Neodiprion lecontei: one gene and its partner. The protein of the gene in region 2 purifies or fractionates together with the protein of the main gene of each other region. This does not show direct contact. Links are inferred from orthologs where the notes say so. Each region holds a gene or a part of one and is shown on either strand. Other genes may lie near its edges.

Region 1 (7,535 bases), about 30 Mb from region 2:
ACAAAGCAATATTGTGTATCAAGTAATTTATACTTTTGTTCATTTTGCTACCTATTCCAGCAGCTTGCCAAAAAATGCCTTTACTTACCCTCTTCAGCAACAATCAGTTCGTCTTCCCCGATACCGGTTTCCATTGCCACAACAGTAACTTCCTTGTTTGTAATATGAGTAGTTGTGAAGTCTCTTCCACATTGTCCTTTATTGTTTATTCCGAAAGTGTAAACCTGTCCCTTGTTGGTCAAAACGACGGCGTGAGCTTTTCCAAGTGAAACATGTGCCACGTGAACGTCACTCAAATCGGTAACAACACCGGAAACATTGTCGCAGTGCGTTGCATCTTTCCCAAACATCAACAGAGAGCCGTCTTTCGTTACTAATGCTGTTGATCCATTATTGCATGCTGCATCTACTATAAATTGTCCCTCAACTTTGAGCATTTTCTTTGGTTTAACTGGTTTTGGCTGCCGTCTAGCCTTATCTGAAAATTTTATCGACAGACTATGACAAAGAATCGCAGCTGGATGTACAGAAAATGGAATTGATTTGCTTGAAAAACTGCAGTGAGATGAATGGAGAAACACAAAAAATAAAACCCACTATTATCGCCATCTTCCCCACGCCTTGCAGTTCCAACAAATAATACAGATCCATCTTCCAGCAGTATAATGGCATGCTGACCATCGTGGCCTGCAGCAATGTGAGTTACTCGTGGTCCTTTTCCCAGAGTTAACTCTGACCACCTGTTAGGCCTTCCGTTACCCTTGATCCCTAAAGAGCTTCCTTTCCCACTGTATAATACCTGTTGCAAAACAGCGGAAATGAGCATAACTTCGTTATTTGCTGCATGCGAGCGAATATTCTTCAAATCATTATGAATATTGGAATCAATTGCAGTCTATGGTGTTTCAAAATTACCTTTCCAGTAACAGTTCTCAGCAGGGCAAATTCTTTGCCTGCTGTAACAAACGAGACTTCATCGTCGCATCCAATACTCAGTGTATGTACATTTTGTTCTTCATCGAACGATGCTGAACCAATGACATCGACACATTTTCTCGCCAATTTCAGTGGTAGCTCGGATGTGACTGTCACAGGATTACTCAATGTATTGATTGTACGAACGACGAAGCCCTCCTGTAGAAAAAGCCGGCGGGATTCAATTTTTATTTAATTACAAGTGCCTAGCATATTCAAAAATCGAGTATTCTCATTTTCTGCTTACATATTCCAGTGAACTCACATCTTTGGCTGCAGTAATCATGCCCAAATTTTCTCCATCAGAGAACATAACGGAGGCAGGCCAGTCACGTCCTTCTAATACCGCCACGCCTCTTACCATCAGAGTTTCCGTATCTAATATCAATAATTCGCATTGTTTCCTAGGCGTGCACTTAAAATATAACAGTCCCTGGAATAGAAATATATAGATAAATGTAAATAAATACAGAGTGCCAAATCATTGTGTAAATAATATGTATATGATTGAACTAACGTTTGCAAATCCAAGCCATCCGGTCTCTGTTGGGTAAAAGTCAGCTTTGTGAGCATATAGATGCCCCCAAATTGTTCCACCATGTCCACTGCCAATCTTCAACAACCCACGACAGGTGTGTAAATACAGGTACTTTCCATCACTTACAAAACTTCTCCCATTGAGCACAACATTACTCATTTCATTTGGTAATTTAAGCGTAGATGTATTAATCTTAGAACTTTTAGGAACTCCATGTGTTATCCAATCAGGCCTTGCTAGCTTACCAAGCAAAACGCTATGGACACTTCTTTGTAATGCAGTCAACACGCATGGCATCTGTAGTGAGAGAATTTTGTAATTGAAGAATTTTAATAGACGAAATTCAAAAGGCAAACACATTGTCTGAACCTACAGACATACACCAGGGTCACTTAATAAGAATATGTATTTCACCTGAATATTTTGAGCAGCCAGTGCTCGTGGGCACATGAGTAGCGCAGCAGTAGCTGCTAGAATTTGACCAGTATCGCCTCTAACTACAACCAAACTCAGCAAACATGCACAAGCAACTGCGGTCAGGTGACTGCCATCGTTAGCCGTCGCCGACTCAGGTCCATGAGACGTTGCAAGATCCAATAAAAGATCGAAAAGTGGATCTGAAAGAAATAAATTACATTTTACAAAAATCTGAGGACATGCGTTTTCTCATTGTACCCTCAGCAGCTCTGTCACTTACCAACAACATCATCAGGCTCAGATCCGAGACCTTCAGGAAGTTGGCCTTGCAATACGTCCAGTAATGCACATAATGCTTTTGTGCATAATTGAGGCTCGACGGTTCTACTTTCACGCATCAATGTAAATACACTACGTAATCCAATGCCGACAATCTATGAAAAAACACATTATACCGTTGGATATTTTTTGAAATCAGATACGATTAACGGTTAAATGATTGTACCTTATTCTCAAAGATTTAAAATGGTCTATTCGATATGTACGATATCTTTCATTATCCAAGGACCTTGGTACTAGTATTATGTCATTCTGTGCCTCTGGCTATTACCGACACCAATAACCTTACATGGCAATAGCCATAGGCAGGATAAATAAATTTTCTGTACAAACTCACAAATGGTTTTTATCAATCATATCATGTATCAGCTGCAAATTGATCGTAAGAAGCTCCTAAAGTTATGAAAGGATTTTGAACAAAGCAAATTGGGGATTAGCTTCCATCGGACGAACAGTTCATTTTTACCTTTGGTAAATTATGTGGGGCTGAAATCCTAACTTCCTCATCACTGTCACTGTCAATGGTATCGCTGAGCTCGGGCAAAGGCGGTGAACTGCAGCTCGAAGCTCTAAATACCTCGGTTGTAGCTCTGGCATGTTTCTCCAACACGGCAGCTCTTACACTGGCAAAAACAGCAAAGGCCGATGCATTGCTGGGTAGCTCTACTTCTGGAGGACCGTTATAGCTTACGTCGCCATTCACATCCAACTGGAATTCATGTATCTGAACATAGTTATTTTCTTCCATTCTGTTTTAAAAGTTTTTTGTTTCTATTTTGGAATTATATTTTCCGCTACTGTTATTGTGTAAACGACATATGCTTTGAACAAATATAATCAATTTAATTTGAGGCTCTATTAAACGTGGAAATGTAAGTATTTGTTAAAATTATTAAGATAACCTTGTTTTTCTTGTCTTTTTTTTTGGCGGTCTTAGACTTCTTAGATTTTTTCCAATCTCCCTTTCCCCTGCGAATAAAAATACACGATGAGTACTATCGTCAAGTTTTAGATTGAGTTTTTTCGTGACAGATGAAGTCACCGCTGTAAATGTTGGGTAAACAAACGTAACGGTTTGAGAGGTTATACCTTTGAATGTCCGCTATATTCCTGAACAGCTCGTGAAAGTATTTGGCATAGTTGTCAGGCTCGGGTAAGAATTTGTCGACATCACCAGACACCATGGTTTAGTAATGATAAATCCGATTAAATAAACTACCGCAAAAATCACTTGGTCACTTCATTTTGGTTATGTTATTGATCGTTGACACTTTTCCCATGTGATCACACTTATTTATAAATTTCTCTAATTATCCAGATAGGAGAAAACATTTTCACAATTTGAACAAACTTGATTAATGTTATCAGATTACGAAAAATTAAAAACTAACGATTACTTAATATCAATTTATCAATTATATCATTAAATTACAGTTCTCATTCCCCCAATTCGCTTAACCGTACAGCTGCAACGTTTATCGTGCTTGAAAGTTGAAAACACAGATATGAGATTTCCGTACATCGATATCTCGAATTGCGATTGAAGTTGACTGCAATGCAGATCGATTCCACTGCCTATCGAATTTTTACCGTCGCGAAACACCGCATTTGAATGGTTCGACGCCAGAATTACATCGCAAAGTGTGGATATGTACTGCAAAAGAAATTGTTCATAGTAGAATGACAATGAAAATACCAAATCCTGTCACAAAACAAGTCTTTCGATGCACCAACGGTTTGAAAATGATTTTCAGACTCAATAAAACTCATTTTTCCAGTCAACGTTTATATTCTCAACTGCAATTAAGTTTGCTGCTAATCAGAATGCAAATTACTTATCTCAAGCATATATTTCAGCTTGAAAACAAAGGTGGCGTTGAAACATCTAATTCAAAATTTCATCAAATATCACATTGATCAGAATAATTTCTTGAAATAATCTTTTTTCTACCGATGGTTAATGGTATAATTGTCCCAAATTACCTTCACAGTTAACTTTTGCACATTACTCAATATTTTTCAATTAATATGCCATCTTTCCTCTGTTTTTATGAAAATTCGCTAAACAATGCACTGCGATAACAGCATGAGATCGTTAATTAATAACTTCTTTCAGCTACACTCGAACCGTTCCTAGACATGTTACAATTAGATAAGAAATCTCACTGGCTCGCTCGCTCGAACTCGAAGCCGCAAAAACCACGTCGAAAGCGGAAACATCGGGAAATAAAACTACGCGAGGCGAAGCAATTTTTATAGACAGCAGTAAATTAGATCCAATCGCTGCAATTCTCGGACGATAATGCCGCTGGAGTTCCCCGAGTTAGCGCCACTCGCGTGGTTTCCCGGCTCTCCCCTCCTTCCAGTGCCTCCTTCAGTCAGTTTTCACTCGTATTTGCCCCAGACTTTTATCCCCACCTCGACCATACTGCACCACACCTCATTAAACTGCTGAATGAAGCCGTAGAATAATCTGTTTACACCGTACGAGGTTAGGTCGATGATTTTTTTTTTTTAACAAGTTTGTTTTGCATCCGACGCATGCATATATCTAAGTGATTTGACAGAGAGATTTGACGTAGAACAGCGACTTGTAAATATTCGCTATTTAAAAATGAGTAACGAGGCGCAAATATCGAACATCGTCAATGACATTCTTGTAAGTGAATTTTTAGGTTTGACATTACTTCAATAGTTTTCCCACATTTTCAATAAGTTTTATCTCCTTACTCGCGATATTCTCACTCAGCACTGCACTTCTGCATTTTGCACTATTTGTCGAAGGTACGACTTGTTTTTCCATCAAACAATTAATTGCTATGCATTTTTATTACACGCAGAGAGTGGAACCTATCGAAGAAGCATTCAGCTGTTTTCTCGTTCACCATCTGGATAATGAAATTGAAAAAATAGCAGGATTGCAGTCAGAATTAACATCTGCTATGACAGGTCTCAATACTGAACAACAAGAGAATGGCGTTAGACAATTTCTTAACATGGCTGCTGCGCTGACGAATCATAGTCGCTTACAACTTCTTCTGTCGTTACTGGAGAACTTGGTCATGAGTAACGTATTACCTGCAAGGTACGAAGCTACGGGAGACGCAAGAAAATTAACAATTAATAAATTCATTATCATCATTTAACGACTTTCCAGATTGGTTTGCGAATGTATCCTCAGCTGTGATAAGCTGCAGTATCAGCAAGAGGATTTTTGGGTCGAGTCTTTTAACCTCATCAGACGGATCATTGGAGGAGTGGATTACAAAGGTGTCAGAGAAATAATGAAGGCGGGTGGTCATTTCTATGCTATCATATATCGTGGAATAAATATTACACGATTGAAATCATAGCTGAAAAATGACTATACTCATAAATTTTTCCATGATCTTTCACAGGGCTGCAGAGAAAAGGCACAAACGATACCAGCAAGACTTAACGCATCTGTACAGCCGCAATTAAAGGCGCTGGAAAATGTTATCGAATATATATTTGACAGAAATGCATGTCTATTGCCTGGCTATTTTATTGTTAATGAAATACAGAAGGCCTATCCCGATAATAAGAATTGGCCGCATTGGGTGAGTTCAAAAAATCTCAAGCTAATGCTTGACAATGTTCACGATTTAGAATCGCAAGTGCTTTTCTATTTTGCTTACCAAATGAAAATAATGTATTATTTCTTAAATAGAAATTAGCAAAACTGCTCTCTGGGTTTGTCGAGAGTTTCAGAGCCACTGCGCAAATGGTGTCTATAATCGGGCACTCAAAAATGCTACCCGTAGTAGAGCACTCTGGATATGCGGACCATGTCATCAACCCATGGAGGCTCGATCCTACGACCCTTAAATTCTCCCTCAAAGGCAATTTACCCTACGATCAAGATTTGCTAAAACCTCAAACCGAACTTTTAAGATATGTCTTGGAACAACCGTACAGCAGAGATATGGTTTGCTCCATGCTAGGCCTCCAGAAACAGGTTCGATGAATGAATTAATCAATTCATTATCAGGTGTAATATATTCAAATTCAGTCAGGCGAAGAATATTTTTGATTGAATAAAAACGTAATATACGTCACACGATCAATGGCATTGGTAACTAATTTCGGTAAAAATTTATGTAAATCTAGCACAAACAGAGGTGCGTAGCATTGGAGGAACAACTGGTTGAATTGGTACTTCTGGCTATGGAGCGATCCGAAAATGATCCACCACCCACTGAGGGAACAGATATTACTGTTGCGAATCATTGGCTGTGGCTACACCTTTCTTCTCAACTTATATACTTCGTACTTTTTCAATTTGCTTGTTTTCCCAACATTGTGATGGCCATACATGACAAGGTAAAACAGAAGCTATGTTACTTGTTATATTTCTCCTTACTGTGACTCTCATTTGACCACCTTTTCAGCTAGCTGGTCGAGAATTGCGAAAGGGGCGTGATCATCTGATGTGGGTCCTATTGCAGTTTATATCTGGGAGTATTCAGCGTAATCCGGTAAGGATTAAAATAATTTTCTCAAATCTGCGCATCTGAAAAAACAAAATTACTTCATTGTAGCTTTGGAATATTTGCATACGATACATCACTTTCTTTTTCTATTCCAGCTGTCTAACTTTCTGCCAGTACTTAAACTGTATGACCTATTATACCCCGAAAAGGAACCACTACCTGTTCCTGATTTCAGTCAGGCATTGTGCACACATCAAATGGCCATCACGTGTATATGGATTCATTTACTTAAAAAAGCGCAATCCGAGCACTTGAACATTCACAGGCCGATCCCACACACGCTAAAAGTTCATCATGAGTATGTGACGTTTTTGGTGCAATTCATCGTATCGTTAATTATTGTATATGTATTCATAAATTCGACAAGTACCTATTTACTGAAATTTTATTTTTCCTTACAGCGGCCATTTCGTATTTATTGAATTAAATTTTTACACTCTCTTTATAGATTTCTACAACATTTAGTTATGCCAAATACATCATTGTGTATGGGATCTGATTATCGCATCGCTTTACTGTGCAATGCTTATTCAACGAATCAAGAATACTTCAGTAGACCTATGGCTGCACTTGTCGATACAATTCTTGGCACACAGAAGGTGATTTTTGAGCAAATAGGACATTAAACTGAAAAAAATTTATAACTATGTGTACTTGTGAAATGAAAATTTATTATTATAATTTTCAGGGACAACAGCAGCAACCCTTACAGCCACTACAGAGCAATGCTGCTCTTGCAAATGGACCAACAA
Region 2 (7,535 bases):
ATGAATATTACCTAAGAGAAAACTATATCTTAATGAACATCCCCAAATAGTTTTCAATTCTAGCTAACGGTTTTTAAAGTGTAGGGGAATCGGGCGCTTTGCGCGTACTTTTTGGTACGCGAAGTTGAACTTCTCATGCAGGTGTTACAAAAAGATATATTCCTATACTATGGAAAATTAATATAGATGAATACTTTACCCAATTAGTCAGCAAACTGCTGATTATATTAATTATTTCTTATTTAAAACATACGCGTTAAGAATTATGAATTCGTCTGTTGCTGCAGAAGTTGAATATTTGTAAAATACATTTTCACATTCATTTCAAATTTAATATGACTATCAATCACAAAGTGGGTACAATTCTGCCCTGATATTTATTACCGATTCTTCAAGTTTTCCTTCTCGTTACAATTCACGCTTGGCTACAGTTCCTTCAATCTAAGCCTGTAGAATAGTTGAAACAATATTCATCCGTGTAGATATTGCAGAAAGTATAAAATGATGTAGTTACACATGATTGTATCCCCTTTAATATTTCCAAAAATGCTACACCGATTTTACAACTGTAGATGGTGGAGGATTCCGATCTCAATTTAATCCAAATAGAGGGCTGTAACAAAGATTATCAAAAATACACACGAAAAAATAACAAGTACTTGCGGAATATCTTTTACCGATCCCAACTCTTGATGTAGTTGCCACCAAATATACATATTACCTATTTTTGATAATTGTGATACTGCATATTAGGTATGTAGGATAGTGTTATATGCATGAAAAGCTGAATTCATTTTTTTCATTTCAAGATAAAATGATTTATTTACAAATATGATCATACATTCGCATAAAATTTTTTTTTTTGTATTTCATTTTTCAAATATATTTCACAAAATACCCTGATGAGTAGCAGTTACCAATGGGCCGTCATACTTTCAATGAGTAAAAAGTGAAAAGCCAAAATTGAAACTTTTGCGCAGAATTATGGCAAAAAAAAAACTTGTCTGAAAATTTTGTTAAAAAATTATTACAAGATTGCAGTGCTAGAAGGACTAGGAAAAATAACAACTTACCAGGCATCATATAAATCTTAAATTATCATTAAAGTGATACCTCGGTGGGACGTGAATATATCTCAACAACAAAATAACCATCTCAGCTATCTACAAAACAATAACTAGTCACAAGAATATCAAACGACAAAATAACTCGAGCAAAATAAACAGGGACCAAATAACATAGCTAAATAACCCGTGACAAAAGAACAGGAACCGAATAACCCCACTAATCCCACACACACCAACAAATTGCATACAACAAAAACAGTGTTCCATCACCTCGAGATGTTTTGTCTATGGTTATTTTGTGTTATAAAGTTTTGTCTCATGATATTATTGTTGTGGGTTATTATTGCTGGGGTTATTTTGCGAGATATTTTGTTGTGGAATTAGATGTTTTGAGATATTATTACATGTAACTGATATCTCTTCCTGTATCGTATCTGTCAGTATTTTTGTATTTGTGAAACCACATTAAAATTTGACGGTATTAAAGGCACTACTCGTTGCATTCCACAGTTTCAAATGGAAAGACCAATCGGGTTTAATGCATACTCTTGTGATTAGTTTGAGTAATAAACTATTTTGAAACACTGAGCACAAACTTAACAAACAGTATTTAAAATACACCTTAACTAAAACCATACGGACACTTATGAAAAAAAGTTTATTTTTCACAGATGCAATAATCACTATGTACACGATTCTGTACAAAAGTTTAGAAAAAATAATCGACGAATTCTACCTAGGGTAATTCTTAATAAATAGTAATAATTACCAATAAATATGTACATTAGAACATTGTTTTGCTTATTACGACTGTCTCTCCCACTTTGTTAATTTTTAACTCACACACACACACTACCTGCTTTAGCTTTTATAAAAAGGTTGCTATTTATAATTGTCAGAAAGTAGTCGGTCATAGCCTATGGAAATATACAATTTCTTAAAAAATAATTATTCTTACACTGTGGTATTTCAAGATAACAAATTCACCGAAACTTTCATAGAATCAAGCTATAAGATACATCACTGACTTGATTGGTATCTTGAAATCAGTATTGTTATGTTACTAGCAATGAACTTCAGTACATTGTTATACATTATTCTCGCACAATTATACTCTTCAAAATTCAATGTTGACATTTCTGCATGAATCAAAAGCTCACTTACGAAGACTTTGAGCATATTTAACTGTGTAGAGTTAATATAATTAATAATATAATTTTTTCAATTACGTATAGGACATAATCGAGCGCTCAAAATATCCACGCAATAGCAATTGCTACGATGCTTAACCATCAGCATTAGCATTTAGAAGGGTAATCGAGTCAATGTACCAATACTAGCTTGGTTGGCAAGTGAGTGAAATGCAACCTAACCAGATTCAAACTACAGTAGAGCGTCTATTATTCGAACTAATTGGGGGTGGCAATCATTTAGATTATCGAGTTTTCGTATAACCAAACAGTGTGGGAATCAACCCCTAATTCGTTGAACGTAATAGAATATGTACATAAAACATCAGATTCAATATCGGGGCTCACTTTTTTCACAGCTCTGCAGATGAGTAGGAACTGACACTGGAAAGCCAAATGTGTGCAAACTCCTGTCTGGTAGGTGGAGAAGAGGTACGCCGTGCAAGTTTGTGCTTACAATGTCACACAATAATATATGTAGCGGCCTATTATGCGAAAAACCGGAAATTCAAAGTAAATAATCTTTATGATAACTGACGATTTGGATAAACCGAATCATTGCTCTGATAATTAATATTTTGGATAACTGATGTTCAGAAAATTAATGCTCTACGGTATAAACAGTTCAATAAACAAGTTATGTACGCAATCGTCGCCAATGCTTCGAATTGCGATGCTCATTTTTTACACTTATCCATTATTTATACGCGTTTTTTTGGACTCGCCTTAGTGGAAGTTCTACTTAAACGTAGATATATTTTAACAGACTATCCTCGCGTGGCACATGCTTGAGAGAGTGTTGCAAGTTTACTTCAAAATTTTGCAAAAAGTGTTAGCCATCCAAAGGTGGTCCAAGATATACCATTGAAACTTCTGTATTACCATAAACAGCCGATACGGACGGGTATAATCTCTTGTCGGGTAATCCTGTACAAAAATGTCCACTTCATTAGAAAATACATGAACCAACTATGACAAAATTAACATTGTTGGCAAAAACAATAATATACCTCTAAACGCTACGCCCAGGAATTCATAGTTTTTTTCAAAGGACAGTGTGTTGTCATCACAATCCAGTATTACTCTTATTTTCTCACCAATCTGAAATTAGATAAGCTTTTAATAAATTGATGTATCATGTGCTAGAAATTCTGAATTTTCATTTCAATAAAAATATAAACGAGCTCATACCAAGTAAATTATTTTGCATAAGTTTTTCACTCTATAGGACAGATTTGTGAGAAATTAGTAGAAGTTGATAAATTTTCAATTTAATTGGTGGAAAAATTTTTCAACAAATCTTACAAAGTACATGTTGCTGGAATTTTCATTCAAATGAACATTTGGCATTTGAGTCACACCGCGCATTGACTTCCTGAAATTTGGTGCCTGCAATTTGATGGATAAGAATATGTAGCAAATTATCAGCTTACCTGATACTTTGGAGCGTTGTTAAGAAGAGGATAATTGCCTTGTGCATCCCCATTGTGTAACAAATGATTGTCGACAAGGTTCCATCCCCAAGAGTGTTCGTCGGAACCAAGTAGAGCTACATACCCTTGGCAGAGTAGAGATGCTTCTTTCGTTGCTATTCCTATCACAGCTACGGTTCCCAAAGGACCTTCCCAAATTACCTCCCACGCATGACGTCCATGGCGGAATCCTATCTTACTCCGAGAGGCATCTGTACTTTGAGCGACTGGATTTCTGGAGGTTGAAAATGAAGCGAATATTGGAATGAAGAAAATCGCTTGGTTTGTGTGAAAATTTAAAGTAACGGGTATGTTGTGTGCATTGAAGTCAACTCAATCACAGCACGTGACAAAACGTAAAATATACTGCTATTGCACCTACCGGTGCAAAGTGAACCCGTTTGGTTTGATGTAAATATTGCGGGAACAATCGTCAGGGTTCCAAGCATGGTAAAAAGCTCGTAATTTGGCTTTATAGGTGGGAACCGATGACAGCAAATCCGACTTGAGCGCTTCTTCAGCGAGTTTTCTAATACAGTGTAACCGCCATACATCATTATTCTCATCGTTCAAAATTCTATACCAGTTCTTACACACCAAGGAACAATTTCGCAAATCGTGCAATTTTAAGTAGGAAAATATCACTTCTAAAACATGATCGGGAACCCTTGACGCTATATCGTCCATTTTGCCGGTCCTACGTGAACGACGGAACAAAATACAGGTGGGATGGAAAGGAAACGAAATAGGGAGGTCGTTCTGCACTGTGATTCGCAGATACATTGATTCACTGACGTTTTGTGTAGTAGCGCTGAGTTCCCCAGCTACACATAATTCGATACTCAATGACTGAAGTTTGCGGTAGACGGGGAACGATGAGGAACGGAGCGAACCACGTGATCAGCACTGGCCAATCAGCTGTTTAGCTTTGTGCTACCGCCAAGCTCGTCTCGGCTCTACTTGCACTAAAAAGCTGTATTTTACTGACGCGTTGTTAATGTCGTGATAACGATTCAACGAGAAGCTGTGTGTCGCGCACGATAGCGCGGTTAGTTTATTTTGATAATTCGCAATATTATTGATACTTGGTAACCGGGTTTTTACAATATTTACTTCACAAATAGTGCAATGCCGGAGTCGCCATTTTGGTGATACGTCGAGTCCGACCTAACTATTGCACTTATGATCTTTTTATTTTCACGCGAATTTCAGTCCGCTTACGGGATCATATTTGATACCTTCGATATCCAGAAGCATCAGTGATGACCCAGCAAAATAAAACGATGAATTTCTTGATACACGACGCAAATGGTAAGTCGTCCAACTGGCGCGCCAACAATCGGCACGCACGGCTCCGTCTCTGAATATTCCTTGTCGAATGAAGTGTGAAACAATACCTCGTGCGATCAACCGAGGAGCGCGTTTTCTAACCAAATTTCACGATTCTTATATTTCGCATATCCATTTCTATTTGGATTCGTCAATTTGATCGCAGGCTCCTTGCTAAACTCAATCACGTTAAAACGTGTGTTTCGCGTTTACTACCAGAATACCGCGAACGAAAGAATGCAATTTTTGCAATCTTTGTTTGTAACCGAATCTTACATTAATAATCTTGATCGAGATTTCTTTCTAAGGATTTACAGAATATCCCAATCACTTTCATTTACTTATCGATAACTAGAACATCCCACTGTATAGTTCTGGATTTCCTTACGTTAAACTTACAATTTACACATTGACACTGACAAATTCTCTGTTCTTTTATTGATATACTTGTGGAATCCATGAATAATAAACAAACATATTTAGTACTGCTCGCGTGATTGTAATTGGTTCACTTTCATTGAGAAATAGCTATTGGAAATTGAAGATTAATGTTAAATGATATTGCTGTTTGGTATTCCTATTTTAGTTAAACTAGCTGTATTGTTTTCACGTAATAACGTGTATTGATAATCAGTCGTACACTGAATATCATTCTTGTAGATCTCAATTAGGATATAAATAATTCATTATTGTTCTTCTTAGCAACAAGGGCATTCCTTATTTGCCTTCAAGATCAATCAGTTGATTTGCCTCTAAAATTTGTGTACTACAGCAGCATTGACTCTTGAAGGACGAATGCCATTCAATATGAAATCTTAAATATTTCAGTATTCCCTACTGCTAAACACTTGATACTACTCAGAAGAGCCATCTAATGTACATACATTAGTTGATTAACTGAAGTTTTGGATCATATAAAATTGTTAATCTGTGATATTTTAAAAAAAATAAACTTTCTTACAGGCCAACCACAAGTTATTAAAGTGGTTCCGAGCACGCCGAATAAAGCACTAACTGGGCTTGTTAGCACCACAAATTCCGGGAGTTTGAAGGTATTCAAGACACCTGGCCAAGATACCCAAGTAAATATCATTTAAAATATATAATCAGACTCGCAACATTTGTATCATTTTTCTAATAATTACCATATATTGAAAAATTGCTCTACCAATATTCAACAGGTTTGCAAACATATTTTAATTATGTTATACAATGAGTACAATCCATATTATTCTGCACTCCCATCTTGAATATTTTTTACGGTTCCCATTTGTATGACTACTGAGTATGGTTCATAAAGCTTTCTAAGATGACACTGAAGCTCATATTTATAGACCTATTCGGATGAGCTGATTCATATCACAATTTAACCCAATGGCCACAAACAGGAGTTCTCAAAACAAAAATTCAAACTGTCTCACAACATATAGTATTTCTGACGTGTGCTATCTTGTACATTTTTTAATCAAGGGATTCAATAGATGATACGCAGAATTATCCCCGCCTGCTAGTGTAAGCTTCCAGCTTCTAGCTTCAACTTTGTATTTACAGGGTGCCCAGTGGTCAGTTAAATGTGTAGCAATTCGGGGGATATTGAATCACTTAGTGAGTGGGCACCCTGGGTTCATTGTGATGATATTATGACCATTACTGTTTGCACACTCAGGTCTTGTCCAGTGGGACACAAGTACTGAGAACCATCAGTTTGCAAGGTTCTTCAACACCTGGTCAGCGTGAGTATTACAGATTCTTACCTAGTTTCTTGCAGTACATATTGACGGATCCTATGAAAACAGAAGTATTTCGATGGGTCGGATAGAACACTTATATTTTGCCGCGCAATCTAGAATGGATGTAACTTAAAAAGTGTTACAGCATGTCCATACAGAGCTCTATACACAACTTTTAGCATCTTTTAAGATAGATCCGTTTTAGGTTACCCAGTGAAATACGGCCTTTCTATCTGGACTGTCAAAATATGTTTGTTTCTATAGGACCCATCTATATATCTGTCTTTTCAGTTATCAGAAAGTTCACATTTCTCATGTAACAAAATATTTTTCTATTAGGCTTAGTTACCATCCCTGTACAAAGTGCAAAAATGTCATCTGTAAAAGCTGGGGAATCTGTAGTGACAAAAACAATACAACTTACAACTGCTCGAATGGTAGGTTACAACATCATGAGCATTGGGAAAATATGAATCAGGAGCTATTCAAAAAAGACATTAGCTTTTCCTGGGGGATCCTGGATTATGTGGTAGTAGCATAAAGCACACTGGTGGGGGTGCAGATGAACATAATGTTCAGTTACTGTAGGTAGATTTTTAATCATCTGCAGCCCAGGTTGATTTTATTAACGTTAGCTCTACTAGTGTGGTAATATTATATATTATATTAATTTTTATCATTTTGTTAAAAAGTTTCTATTGAAATGAGAGTTTGTATTTTCAGTATCTAAAAACTATCAGAAGTGGA

What was found.
Region 1: the proteins of F-box/SPRY domain-containing protein 1 (region 2) and E3 ubiquitin-protein ligase MYCBP2 purify together in Caenorhabditis elegans (affinity purification with western blotting; 3 studies listed by BioGRID). This does not show direct contact. The link is inferred for Neodiprion lecontei from reciprocal best matches to the Caenorhabditis elegans genes fsn-1 and rpm-1.

The regions. Positions count from the first base shown.
Region 1 is NC_060261.1:4,255,406-4,262,940, reverse strand, and holds the start of E3 ubiquitin-protein ligase MYCBP2, read right to left. Parts: upstream 3,924-7,535; 5' UTR 3,454-3,923; coding exon 3,359-3,453; intron 3,239-3,358; coding exon 3,172-3,238; intron 2,979-3,171; coding exon 2,736-2,978; intron 2,365-2,735; coding exon 2,211-2,364; intron 2,131-2,210; coding exon 1,928-2,130; intron 1,811-1,927; coding exon 1,493-1,810; intron 1,409-1,492; coding exon 1,241-1,408; coding exon of another isoform or gene 1,223-1,240; intron 1,135-1,222; coding exon 916-1,134; intron 800-915; coding exon 598-799; intron 479-597; coding exon 89-478; intron 1-88. Other genes in the region: mediator of RNA polymerase II transcription subunit 23, read left to right, coding at 4,884-4,928, 5,110-5,354, 5,427-5,559, 5,668-5,850, 5,961-6,248, 6,401-6,613, 6,682-6,768, 6,879-7,081 and 2 more.
Region 2 is NC_060261.1:34,103,456-34,110,990, forward strand, and holds F-box/SPRY domain-containing protein 1, read right to left. Parts: upstream 4,453-7,535; 5' UTR 4,417-4,452; coding exon 4,112-4,416; intron 3,965-4,111; coding exon 3,691-3,964; intron 3,359-3,690; coding exon 3,268-3,358; intron 3,185-3,267; coding exon 3,090-3,184; 3' UTR 868-3,089; downstream 1-867. Other genes in the region: transcription factor Dp-1, read left to right, coding at 4,992-5,040, 6,022-6,140, 6,725-6,791, 7,128-7,225. UniProt on the Caenorhabditis elegans protein: Component of a SCF (SKP1-CUL1-F-box protein) E3 ubiquitin ligase complex which is required for the restriction and/or maturation of synapses in GABAergic neuromuscular junction (NMJ) presynaptic neurons.